Linked DNA regions of Mus musculus. The protein of the gene in region 1 purifies or fractionates together with the protein of each later gene. This does not show direct contact. Links are inferred from orthologs where the notes say so. Each region holds a gene or a part of one and is shown in the gene's direction. Other genes may lie near its edges. The genes, in order: Marchf6, Plin2 and Sqle.

The links.
Region 2: the proteins of Marchf6 (region 1) and Plin2 purify together in Homo sapiens (affinity purification with western blotting; 3 studies listed by BioGRID). This does not show direct contact. The link is inferred for Mus musculus from reciprocal best matches to the Homo sapiens genes MARCHF6 and PLIN2.
Region 3: the proteins of Marchf6 (region 1) and Sqle purify together in Homo sapiens (affinity purification with western blotting; 4 studies listed by BioGRID and IntAct, with this or other methods). This does not show direct contact. The link is inferred for Mus musculus from reciprocal best matches to the Homo sapiens genes MARCHF6 and SQLE.

What each region holds. Positions count from the first base shown.
Region 1 is NC_000081.6:31,528,150-31,532,535, reverse strand, and holds the start of Marchf6 (E3 ubiquitin-protein ligase MARCHF6), read left to right. Parts: upstream 1-1,498; 5' UTR 1,499-1,714; coding exon 1,715-1,733; intron 1,734-4,386. UniProt on the Homo sapiens protein: Endoplasmic reticulum membrane-associated E3 ubiquitin ligase that plays a critical role in mitigating endoplasmic reticulum stress, the regulation of cholesterol and lipid homeostasis, and ferroptosis.
Region 2 is NC_000070.6:86,667,216-86,671,475, reverse strand, and holds the start of Plin2 (perilipin-2), read left to right. Parts: upstream 1-1,416; 5' UTR 1,417-1,531; intron 1,532-1,910; exon of another isoform or gene 1,911-2,030; intron 2,031-2,770; 5' UTR 2,771-2,796; coding exon 2,797-2,826; intron 2,827-2,913; coding exon 2,914-3,109; intron 3,110-4,260. UniProt on the Homo sapiens protein: Structural component of lipid droplets, which is required for the formation and maintenance of lipid storage droplets.
Region 3 is NC_000081.6:59,325,067-59,328,479, forward strand, and holds part of Sqle (squalene monooxygenase), read left to right. Parts: intron 1-968; coding exon 969-1,111; intron 1,112-1,503; coding exon 1,504-1,600; intron 1,601-3,413. UniProt on the Homo sapiens protein: Catalyzes the stereospecific oxidation of squalene to (S)-2,3-epoxysqualene, and is considered to be a rate-limiting enzyme in steroid biosynthesis.

The sequences.
Region 1 (4,386 bases):
GGCTAAACTTAGCTTTTTTTTTTTTTTTTTTTTTTTTGTGAGAAATCTCAAAGACAAACCTACAGGGACTGTCTTCTGTTGGGGGCTTTTTTTTTTTTTTTTTTTTTTTTTTGGTCTATTCTATTGTGTTCTAGTACATCAAGGTAGAAGAGAAGGAAGGTTAGAGGGAAAGGGGGATGTAGACCTTTTTGACTACTCCTGATCATTAGGGGCATTGAGTTTCTTGAGATCAGTCCAATCTTCCACAACAGGGCATCTCCAACGTCTCATTAAGCAACAGCAACAGGAGCAGCAGGAACCAAAAACCTCCTCCTCCTCTTCTGCTTCCTCCTTCTCTTCTGCCTCCTCCTCCTCTCCCCACTTCTTCTTCCTCAAAGCACCTCCCACTGCTCTGGAGACTGCCATTTAGATCACTCCCCTCCTAGAGTACGAGACAATCATAGTTAACGGTTGTGGCCCATCTGAAGCAGCCCCATATCCCACACCTGGGGTTAAAACAAAAACAGTCACATAACTTTTTTTTTTTTTTTTTTTTTTTGGTTTTTTGAGACAGGGTTTCTCTGTGTAGCCCTGTAGTCCCGGCTGTCCCGGAACTCACTCTGTAGATCAGACTGGCCTCCAACTCAGAAATCCACCTGCCTCTGCCTCCCAAGTGCTGGGATTAAGGGCATGCACCACCTCTGCCCGGCCAAAATTCCGTTTCTTGAATCTACTTTCCGTTATGTGCACGTTTAAGCATCCGGGTTGGAAACACTTTTCTTCTAATCTGTACTATCTTATTTAGAGAAAGCTCTAAGGATTATGTGAGGAAGGTGGCCTACTGATGCGAGCAGGTCTGAGTCTTTCATCATTCTTTCATCAGCCATTTAGTTCTGGCCAGGTAAGCTTCCCTTAATTGTGTCGCCATCTGAACCCATTTCCCTTAGAGGTAGATTCAATGTTGGCTTTCAGCTGTGAAGACGTGGTCTTTCCACTCAATTGCATAAGCCTCCCCAGGAGAGATTCTGATAACCTGGATGCTCGTCTTTTTCCATCTTAGGGATGCTTCTGTAATTCTTTCAGACGTGCCTCAGAACCACTCAAGAGCGGAACCAAAAATGCTCGTTCCGGGGCCGACTCTGAACGCCCCGGGAGTGGCGGTCGGGTACCCCAAGCTGGGACCCTTTGTCCCCCACACCCGCTCCGGCGGGCGGGCGGGCGTGCGCGCCGGGCTCGCTCCCGCCGCTCCGCGTTCCTTTTGTCCCGGAACGCGCCCGCGCCGCCGCCGCCGCAGCCGCCCCTCCGCGAGGTGCCTGCCGCCTGCCTCTAGGTTTTCAGTCTCCATCCCGCGCGCAGCCTTCGCCACCAGTCAGGCCGTGTTTCGCACCCCGCCCCCGCCTCCGCGAGCCCGGCGCGAGCGCGAGCGAAGGCGCGCGCCGGATGTGACGCGCAGCGCTCCGGCGCCCCGCCTTTTCCGCCGCGCGCCCCGCCCAGGCCCGTCGCTCGGCCGCGCGCCCCTCCCCCCTCCCCGGCGCTCGCTTTCTGTCAGTCGCTGTCCCTGTCCCCCTCGCCCGCGACCGGCTTCCTCTCGCACCCGAGCGCACGCACTTGCCCGGCCCGCGTCCTCTTCCTCCTCCACTCCTCCCGCCCGCCCGCCCGCCTTTCCCTTCGGGCCCCGAGGCTCTGCCGGGTCGCGGGCGCCTCGCGGCTGCGTCACCGCCGCCCCCCAGACAAGATGGACACCGCCGAGGAAGGTGAGGCGGCGGCGCCCGCGCCCTTGCAGCGGCGCCCGCGCTCCAGTCGGGCCGAGGCGCTCGCGGCGGATCCCGCGGGCAGTTTGCTTGCCCGGCGGGCGGGCGGGCGGGCGGGCGGGCGAGCGCGCGGCTCGAGCTGGTCCTCCAGCGGGCTCGGATCGGAAGGTGACCCTCTGCGCGCCCCCCGCCGGTTCCCGCGGGCGACGAGGACTCAGCCTCGGCTGGGACACTGGGGTGCCAGGACTTCGGTGTCCGAGACGTGGGGTGCCGGGACGTGGGACATCCCGGACGTGGGGGTGTCGCGACGTGGGGTGCTCGAGACATGGGGATGTCGGGAAGTGGGGCGCTGGAGACCATAGGGTGCCCGAGGCGTGGGGCTGCCGGGGACTTGACGGTGTGGAAGATCGGGGCCCCGGCCACCGCCATCCCGCGGTCCGCGGAGGAGGGGGCCGCAGTGCGAAGTCCGGGGGCGTTTCCACTCCCCTCCCCCACTCGTTTTTCCCCCCTCCGTGTTCGAGTCTGTTTGCTGTTGTCCTGTAGGCCCAACCTCTGCCACACAACTTCTTTGTTGACTTTGAAACTTCGCGGAAAATACCCCGCGAGGTGACGACTGCTGAGTGGACTGAACTGACCCCTGCTGCAAAATCTTGCTCTCTGTTTGCCTTACCCTAACTGCACTGACCAGACCCGAGAGGGGACGGTTTCTAGAGACTATTGGAGGAGGGAAAGGCGAATATTTAGGTTTCTTCTAAATCCTTGTCACCACAAAGCAAGGGTTTGTTTGTTTTGTTTGTGGACGTGTACTTTGGATGCGGTTGTTTTGAATTAGCAGAGAACACGAAAGAAAAGCAGCCACATGGGTGTAGAAAGCAGCCGCTTACCTGACGTTGTGGCAAAGTGTTTTAAAGCAGTTTTTAGAGGCACTGATGTATTAGTGAGTCTGTAGAGGAAATTATTGATCATGTACTTACTAGTGCAGATACTTACTGTTTAGATATATTCTTGTTCGAATGAGCGTTCTTTTCAACCTCAGGCTTTATTTTACCGACTTTACATGCAATCGAACCATCAAGCACTTGTATTGAAGTCATTAGAGTAATAAAAAGTTTAGTAATAATGTGATGAGTTGATTTTTTTTAAAAAAAAGTATTGTTTACAAAATATGCACAGGAGGATTGATTCACTTTGACGTTCCCGACAGCCCTGCGGGGTGGATGTGTGTTACCTTTCGTGGCTGTGGAAATGTAGGCTTATTTAATAGCTTGGTTAAGGTTCACACGGGTGGTAAGAAACAGTTGACCCTATTTTCATTGTTTGTCGCTGCCACTTCATTATGCTACAGTACGGTTCTATTCAATGAGTGAAGCTAGTTGCCATTGCAGAACTTTGGGAAAGAAACTGTTGAGGATTAACAATCGCCCAGGTTGATCTTGTGTTTACATCTCTGTAGGTTTCACAGCCGTTTATATTCAGTGCCTGTCTTTGTTTTGTTTGGTTTTTGAAATGAGTTCTCCATACTCCTCTGTTTCAGCATCTTGTACTACCATGCCTGGCTTTGATTCGAGTTTGTTTGTATTTTGCTCATATGTATTTAATCGTTGTTAAATGCCATGTGTGCTGGGACTCAAAACCTGGTCCTCTGTAAGAACAAGTGCTCTCAACTACACATAATCTCCTTTGATTTAAGTTTTAATGACTAAATCTAGCATCTGTATTACTTGGCTTTGCACTGACATATTATATGAAAACCTGATTTTTTTCCACCTGGGCAGTTAGTACTTCACAGATTTATGAAATGACCACAGGTATTAGTAACTCAGGAATTGAGAAACTGAGTGTGATGTCATGAAGGAAATGGTACTTCTAGTGCTTGAAGGTACTTTTTTTTTATTGGGATAAGATATAAGTGATGTTTTAAAAATCAATTTGGATATTGAACTCAAAGTAACTGATCACTTAGTGAGGACTCAGAGTGCTTTCCCTTTACTAACACTGTAGTACCTCTCAGGTTTTGGAAGGAAGCAACCTGCTGTTACACAGGTGAAGGAACTAAAGGTTAATTTGGATGAGCAACTTGCCCAAGTTCACTCAGGTGGCAAAGGCAGGAGAAAGAGTCACTCATGTCAGACCCCGTGTAGTTATTCATAAGTGAACTGGAGAGATGGTTCATGAGGCTCGTCAAGTGTTCCAGAGTGCGGTAACTTGTTTTTGTCATTTCCTTTGGAGGATGAATTATTAATATAAGCTAACAAGACCTTTGCCAGTATTCTCCTTCCACCGTATGGGTTCTAGGAGTTGAATTGAGGCCACCAGGCACCTTTCCTTACCTGAGGAGTCAACTCTTTAGGCATATGAAAGTGAATAGTAATAGTTTTCATGGCCATTTTTGTAAAGTTTTGAATTGAAAGGGTTTTTTGTTTGTTTGTTTGTTTTGTTTGTTTTTTTATTTCACAACTTAAAATTGACTTGAAATAACTGCAAGGGATAGATTCATGACAAACATTATAAAATGAAGGTGGCACAAAGCTTGTAAATGATTCTACTTGCTCAGTTACTGCAGGGTATTTAAAACAGTATCATAGAGTGTTTTGACTTGAATGCAAGAATGTGTGTGCACCATGTGCCTGCTGGTGCCATGGTGGCCAAAGAGGGC
Region 2 (4,260 bases), on another chromosome or scaffold:
CTGAGTGCTTTGGCTCACAATCAGCTAAACTTCAGCTCCTAGCAATCCAATGTCCTTTTCTAAAAGGTCTCAGATGACATCTGCACAGATGTGGCATACATACATACATACATACATACATACATACATACATGCATACGCATGTAAAACACAATCTTTAATAAAAACATCCAGAGCATCTTTGGACTTCCAGACATTTCTTCTTTTTCTTTTTCCTTTATAATTATACGGTGGTGTCTTCCAGTGCCTGCAATGGATTGATTCAGGCACACATATTAATGAAGCCAGTTTGGCTCTTTGGACCTTTGAAAAAGTAAGCAGCGCTTGTGTGTATGCAACTTTGGGGAAATGATTGACGTGGAGGTGAGTGCTGCCCAGAGTTCAAATTCCATAGCTCCAAAGGCACCTTCCACAAGCCCCGGTTAGTAGGGCCCAGCACTGTTGCTGTTGCTCTTATTACATATTCTGGTGACAGGGGATCTATGTAGCTAGGGCACAAGAGCTTCCTTCCTATCTTCAACTGTTCCTTCTAGTTTCCCTTGCAAGGAACTAGAAGGCCTGCACCTGTATCTTTTTCCAGGAAAGAAATTCCCTGAACCCTTATGACTCCAGATGGCTGTACAACTTTCAAGATCAAATAACCCAGTTCACGTCCCTGCCCTCTCGACAAGGATTAAAAAATGATTCAGACCACTTAAAAATATTGCATAAGTCACGATAAAGTTGGCCATCTTCCTTAGTTGTTGGCTGATATCACTAAGGAGCAATTTGGAATTGTTTTACTAAAGAAAACACAGAAGAGAGGCTCAAGCTTTGCTTGTGGAAATTCAGATCAACCTTTTAATTAGAAGCTTTTGATAAGTTGTCTCTCTTTGAGAACGGTATTTTTTCTGGCCTAGAACTCACAACAATCCTCCTGCCGCAATTTCCCTAGTGCTGGCTGGGGATTACAGACCAGAGCCGCCACATCCCATGGATGAATTGTTTACATCCATAGAGCAGTAAACCAGAAGTCCCTACAGGTCATTAACGTGTTGGAATTCCACACATCTTTGTAACTTTCTTGACTTAAAGTAAAAGGTTAGAACCCGAACTTCCAGTTTTGAAGTGGTCTTTTCTGAAGACTCTGGTTAATTTGTCTGCATTTTCCAAAACCCCAAGACGCCCTGCATCTTTGCAATGCAGCTTTCAGGACCCCTGACCTAAGTCAGACAGCAGAAGGCCTCGCCCCGGCTGGCTCCTGCTCTTCTTGTACTGATCTGGGATCTCAGGGCACTGGGCTCAGGAAACCAAGGAGGCCCCCGATATTGTGGCACCAGGTTGGGGTTCCCACGCCCTCATCCCCAATGAGTGGCCCCAGAGTCCCAGTCCAGCCCAGCACAGGGTTCAGCGGCCCCAGGCAGCTGGGCTATCACGTGGCTCGGAGGCTTGGGCGGGGCAGTCAAGCGATATTTTAACAGTCGTTCTGGCCGCTTTGCTGTGTGGTGATCTGGACCGTGCGGACTTGCTCGTCCCTCAGCTCTCCTGTTAGGTAGGTCCTGCACCAGATCTGGCCCTCAGGCCGCTGCTGCTCTGCCTGCACTGGGCTCGGAACTGCAGCAATGGGTCGGTGGGGGAGGAGGGGGGAGGGAGCAGCCCCGGGCTGGTTGGGAAAGCTCTCGCTTTTGTTCTAGAGTTTTCCTTTCTGTTTGCACGTCCTTCTGTGGTAGAGCAACTTGCATTTGTCCGGTCGAGGTTTTATTTAAATGGAAACACCTCACAGAAGAACTTATAAGGTGCATAGTGAGAATTGTCTGGGTTTCCTTTAGTGTCCCACTAGGCAGCACTGGCTGCCCGCAGGCTCTCTATGGTCCAAGCTGGGCTGAAACTCTTGCTCCTCCTCTGCCTCAGCCCCACCTCACCCTTGGAAAACGGAAGGAGATATTTTATGGGCTGCTCCTTGGTATAGATACTGCTCGAAGCTTCTGCTTTCTGGACAGTTCTTCCTAAGGAACTGGGACTTTGGATTGGAGGCAGAGCAGTCTAGACAGGTTCTGTTGCTGGGCAGAAGGCAGTTTCATGTGGGTGTGGGTCACTGGGGATAGGAGATTTTACAGTTCCCTGGAGTGACTTTCTTGAGCTCAGTCAGCATTAAGGCAGCCACTGCTGGTTTCAATCTTGTTCACAAGAGTGGTAAACACCCTCAAGTATCAGTTTGATAGTCCTGATGCTGAGAGCCCGGCATGGTGGCCTGTACCTAATACCAACACTAGTGAAGTAGAGTAGAGAGAGTCAGCCTGGGCTTTAGACAGGCAGAGACTAAGTATAGCAAGGGCCATCTTTAATTCTAGCACTTGGGAGGCAAAGGCAGGTAGGTCTGGTGAGTTCCAGGCCAACCTGGCTAGCCAGGACTGTTACAAAGAGAAATACTGTCTCAGAAAGCCTACAGAAATAAATCCATTAACTAATTAAGGGCAGGTGTTTGGGGGAATCTAAGATGTCTTCTGTTTAAATGGAATTTTCTGCCTTTTGGGTTAGCATTTTTGAGAACAGGCATTTCAGAGGCATTTCTAGTGTCCCATTTAAGAGACAGGACAATGACTACTCTTTCCTATTGAAAGTGTGTAAACAGCCCTGGAGCCTCCAGTCAGGTTGTTGGCCTTGAAAAGGGCTCTGAACTAGAGGGGTGGGGTTGGGGAACTGAAACTGTCTATGCTGGAATTGTGGGCCTGCCTAGGTTGGGACAGGAATTGGTCCTCAATGTTCTGAAACCAGTTTCTTTTCTCTCCAGGCGTCTCTTTTCTCCAGGAGGAAAAAATGGCAGCAGCAGTAGTGGATCCGCAACAGGTATGATTTTTTTTAAGTATTCGTTTCTTGGTCCTTTTTCCTTTCTTGTGATTTGAGTCATTACTATCCACTCCTCCGTGTTTGCAGAGCGTGGTGATGAGAGTGGCCAACCTGCCCTTGGTGAGCTCTACCTACGACCTTGTGTCCTCCGCTTATGTCAGTACAAAGGATCAGTACCCGTATTTGAGATCCGTGTGTGAGATGGCCGAGAAGGGCGTGAAGACCGTGACCTCTGCGGCCATGACAAGTGCCCTGCCCATCATCCAGAAGCTGGAGCCACAAAGTGAGTCTAGATTCTGCGGTCAACACTGAGCCCAAGGGACTGGGTAGGGTGAGTGCTAAGTCACACCAGGGATCCCCCAGGCCTTCCTGAAGCACAATCCCTCCTCTACCCAGAAACTGTCTGCTGACCTTCCTTCACACGGATGGGCTCTTCACAGCCATACCGGTGCTCACTCTTATTACTCTAATAGAAACTTCCCAGCCAGGCGTGGTGCTCACACCCCAGCACTTTGAAGGGAGGTGAAGAGGTGTCAGTTGAAGGCAGACCATGGCTACATAGTGAACTGCAGGCTGCCTGGGCTGTATGAGACAGTGTCTCAAAAAGGAAAAACAAACAAACAAACAAACAAACAACAACAACAACCCTATACTCGAGGGTGTGTGCCGTTAGTCCAATTAGGCAGGCAGATCTTTGTGTTCAAGCCCACTTTAGTCTACCTAACAAAATCCAGGCTAGTCAGAGCTATATAGTGAGAACGTGTCTCAAGACAAGACAACAAACCAAAAAGAAAAGAAAAAGTAAATTTCCAAAACACTTTTGTGTTAATAACTGAAATTACAAAGGCATCATCCAAGGGGGTTTCCTGAGTTAGCTTTCTCATACAGCGTGTGCAGATTGAAAAAACAAAATTTGATTACATTTGTGTTTACATTTTGTGTCTGCATGTGTGTATGCATTTGTGTGTAGATGCATGCCGTGCCAATGCTCAGAGAATACCAGATCTAATTCAGGTCCTCAGGCTGGGTATTGAGCTCCCTTACCACTGAATTAGCTCCCCGCCCAAACTTTTCTTTTTTTTCTTTTTTCTTTTTTAGATTTAATTATTTATTATAGGAGTGTACTGGCTAGTTTTGTGTCAACTTGACACAGCTGGGGTTATCACAGAGAAAGGAGCTTCAGTTGAGGAAATGCCTCCATGAGATCCAACTCTAAGGCATTTTCTCAATTAGTGATCAAGGGTGAAAGGCCCCTTGTGGGTGGGACCATCTCTGGGCTGATAGTCTTGGGTTCTATAAGAGAGCAGGCTGAGCAAGCCAGGGGAAGCAAGCCAGTAAGGAACATCCCTCCATGGCCTCTGCATCAGCTCCTGCTTCCTGACCCGCTTGAGTTCCAGTCCTGGCTTCCTTGGTGATGAACAGCAGTATGGATGT
Region 3 (3,413 bases), about 28 Mb from region 1:
TGGTAGCATGGAGTCACTGTTTGGGGCGTCCGAGGCTGGGAGCGGGGTTCTGCAGTAGAAGTGTGGCTGGGGAGGACATTGCTTGGGTATGAAGGTGATCAGTGGGAGCAGGGACTGAATAGGAACAGGGTCTGCAGAACCTGCTCCCAGGCTGCCTGAGACACAGTAGTATTTCTAGGAGCGCCAGGAGATCCCTGTAACTGGCATTTTTGGCAGGTGTCAGTAGTGATTGATAGCTGGCATATAGTTGTGTTTTAAATGTATATTTTAAAGGCTTATTACTTGTTTGGAGACAGGGTCTCACTGTGGACTGAAACTTACGTAGATCAGTCTGACCTCAGATTTACAGAGATCACCAGTCTCTGTTCTTAGTGCTGGAGTTGTGCCTGGCTAAGAATTTGTTTTTACTTACATGTGTATTTGCCATGTTTATGTAACACCTCAGAGGCTAGGGCATCAGCATCCCCGGGACTGGAGCTACAGATGGTCCTGATGTGGGTATTGGGAAGCACACTTAGATCCTCTGGAGGAGTAGCACACACTCCTACCTGCTAAGCCATCTCTCCTCTGCCTCTCCCTCCCCACTACCCCCTTTTCTTTTTGAGAAAAGGTCTTAACGGCCCAGACTGAAACCAGACGGCTGAGGATGACCTCGGTCATCTGTCCTGCCTCTGCTCTCAAGAGCTGAGATTATAGGCACACACCACATGCAGGGCAGCGTATGTGTTTAATATTTTTAATACTTAATTTTATCCTATATAGGCACTGGAACTTAAGGGTTTTTTGTTTGTTTGTTTTTTGGCATCAGCTTTGTTGAGATCCTAAGTTTTTCAGTTCAGCCACAGAAAGCAGATTTAATTAGAGTTTACTCTTGGCTATCTTATCTCCTGTCAATCACAGGTTTGTTAGCACTAACGTTTTGTCTCCAAGCTGTTCAGGATTTCATAGTCTTAGTTCTCTTTCCGCAGGCGTCCTTATTCTGGGAGATGCGTATAACCTGAGGCACCCTCTTACTGGTGGAGGAATGACAGTTGCTTTAAAAGATATAAAATTGTGGAGACAACTGTTAAAAGACATTCCTGACCTTTATGATGATGCTGCTATTTTCCAGGTAAGAGTCTAGAGTTTTCCTCCCACGGAATGGCTCAAAATACATCTGTTGATGAATGAGCAGACTGGGAGCCCAGTGGGAATCTATGCGTGTGTGCGCGTGGGGGGGCTTATGGTTCATAATGGTCCTTAGTCTTATTCAGGTATAAGCTTGACTTTCAAACTGCATTTTTATTGTCTATGGTTTAGCATATGTACAGCAGATTGGCCCAGCCCACTCTTCTCTGAGCTATAAGGTTAGCTTCAAAGTCATGTGGCCCATTGCCCTGAAAGAGTGTGGCACTATTACCTGCAGATAGGCCTTGGGACAGATAACTTTTTGAGGAGATGATAAACATTTACTTAAGCTTTTTTCCCTCCTGACTTGTAATAAATGATATTCTTCATTTTTAGGCCAAAAAATCATTCTTTTGGTCAAGAAAAAGGACCCATTCCTTTGTTGTGAATGTATTGGCTCAGGCCTTGTATGAATTATTTTCAGCTACAGATGGTAAGTATAGATAGTTTTAAGTGAAATGACTTGTAGACTTTTAAGTTTTCTCAGATAAGGGACCTACATTACCAAAGTTAGTAAAGTAGTTAGTCTATAACCACACATCACCTGACTACCCACTGCCATGTGGTAGTTCTTGTGGTGTCTCAGTGTTGAGAACAAAATAAAAGGGACGCCTGAGGTGGGCCTGGGGGAAGTGGGGGAGGAAAAGGGGCCTAAGGTCCGGCCAGAGCTCCTGTGCTCTGGGCAGGCAGACACAGGCAGAGCTGCTGGGCACTTTTCCACAGGGCCCAGGGTGAGCATGCCTGACCCACGTGGTGGGGGTGGAAAAGGGGCAGCCGCCGACCACACCCCCCCCCCCCTGCCCGGAGCTACCTTGCTAGCACCCCAGGGTTGCAGAAGAGAGGGAATAGAGGAAGACGTTCCCAACACTGACCAGGGTGCGCAGCGGGCCTTGATGGAGCAGAGCAGAGGCTCTGTGGTTTAAGAGCCTTATTATAGAAATGCAGGGGAAAGAGAGAGGGTAGGAGAGAGAAAAGAGAAAAGAGAGGAACTGGGGAGGTGGTAGAGGTAACTGGGGAGGAGTTTAGCCTGAAGGTCAGAAGCTTGGGCCATTGCTTACATGACTACTGACCATGCTTCTCTTGTGGGGGCTGTGGGAGGTTGTATCTTAGGTAGGGGCTGGAGTTCCAGGAGCATGAGGGAACCCCTATCGTGTCATGTAGGTAGATTATGACCATTGGGGTTCAGACCTCAGCTCGACTGGAGACCAGCCTGCAATTCCCCACATCTCAGCATCATGTATCCGCCCACCACTTCTTCTGGGGGCTGTTGGCATTCCTTAGAAAACACCCGTAGCAGTATTTCAGGAAGGTATTTGTTTGAGTCCTCTGGTCCAGGCTAGAGCATATATGGCCTCGCGTGGTATAATGTTGGTGAAAGGCCTTTCTGGCCAGCTTTGGGGAGGAGAAGCAGTGTGGTTGAGTTTCTTTGGAAGCATTATTTACAGCATGAATAGGCGCCTCTAGCCGAGGTTGGAGCTCCTTTCCTGCTACTGTGAACAAGAGGCTCGCATTGCAAATAGCCATGTGCATTGCTCTGTTTGCTCCGTTATAGACAAGTTGGCCATTCTAGGTTCAACATTCATAATAATGAAAATGTAAAATTCTAAGCTAGATGTGGTGGTGCATGCTGCTTCTCCTAGCAGCCAGGAAGCTGAGGCAGGACGATTGGGAGAGTAGCCTGAGCTACATACATAGTAAGATCTTATTTCAAAACAAATGATACTCTAGCATCTGCACCCCTCCCCAATCCATGTATTAAACTTGCAAAGTAAAAAAAAAATATTTAAAGAAACAGACAAAAATAGGTAAACATCTGAGATGCTTCAAGCTCCTTGGTTGAGTTTCTTGGTGCCCATTAGCAGAGAAAGTGGGACTGCTTCTCATAGACTCCAGCTATCCATCTGTCCCCTCTTGCTAAACTCATTCATTGTGATCTAAGACCAATCTGGACGAAATGGAATGGAAGTTAAAGTGGACTAATAAGAGGAAGAGAGTTCTAAGTTTTGAGTTTTTCTAAGCTATTGTCTGTTGCAGTAAATATTAATTGGAGCTTTCTACCCCATCTTACATTTAGTTCCCAAATAAAAGACACAAAGCCTTTCTATTTATAATAAGCCTTAAAGCCCTAGAGCTGGGCAGTTATCGTTCTCTGCTATTTTGTCTACTTCGCTGTCATTAACCCCGAGATATCACTTGCTATGTACTGCCTGAGTCACTCCTACTCCGAACTGGCCAGCCCTCGAGGC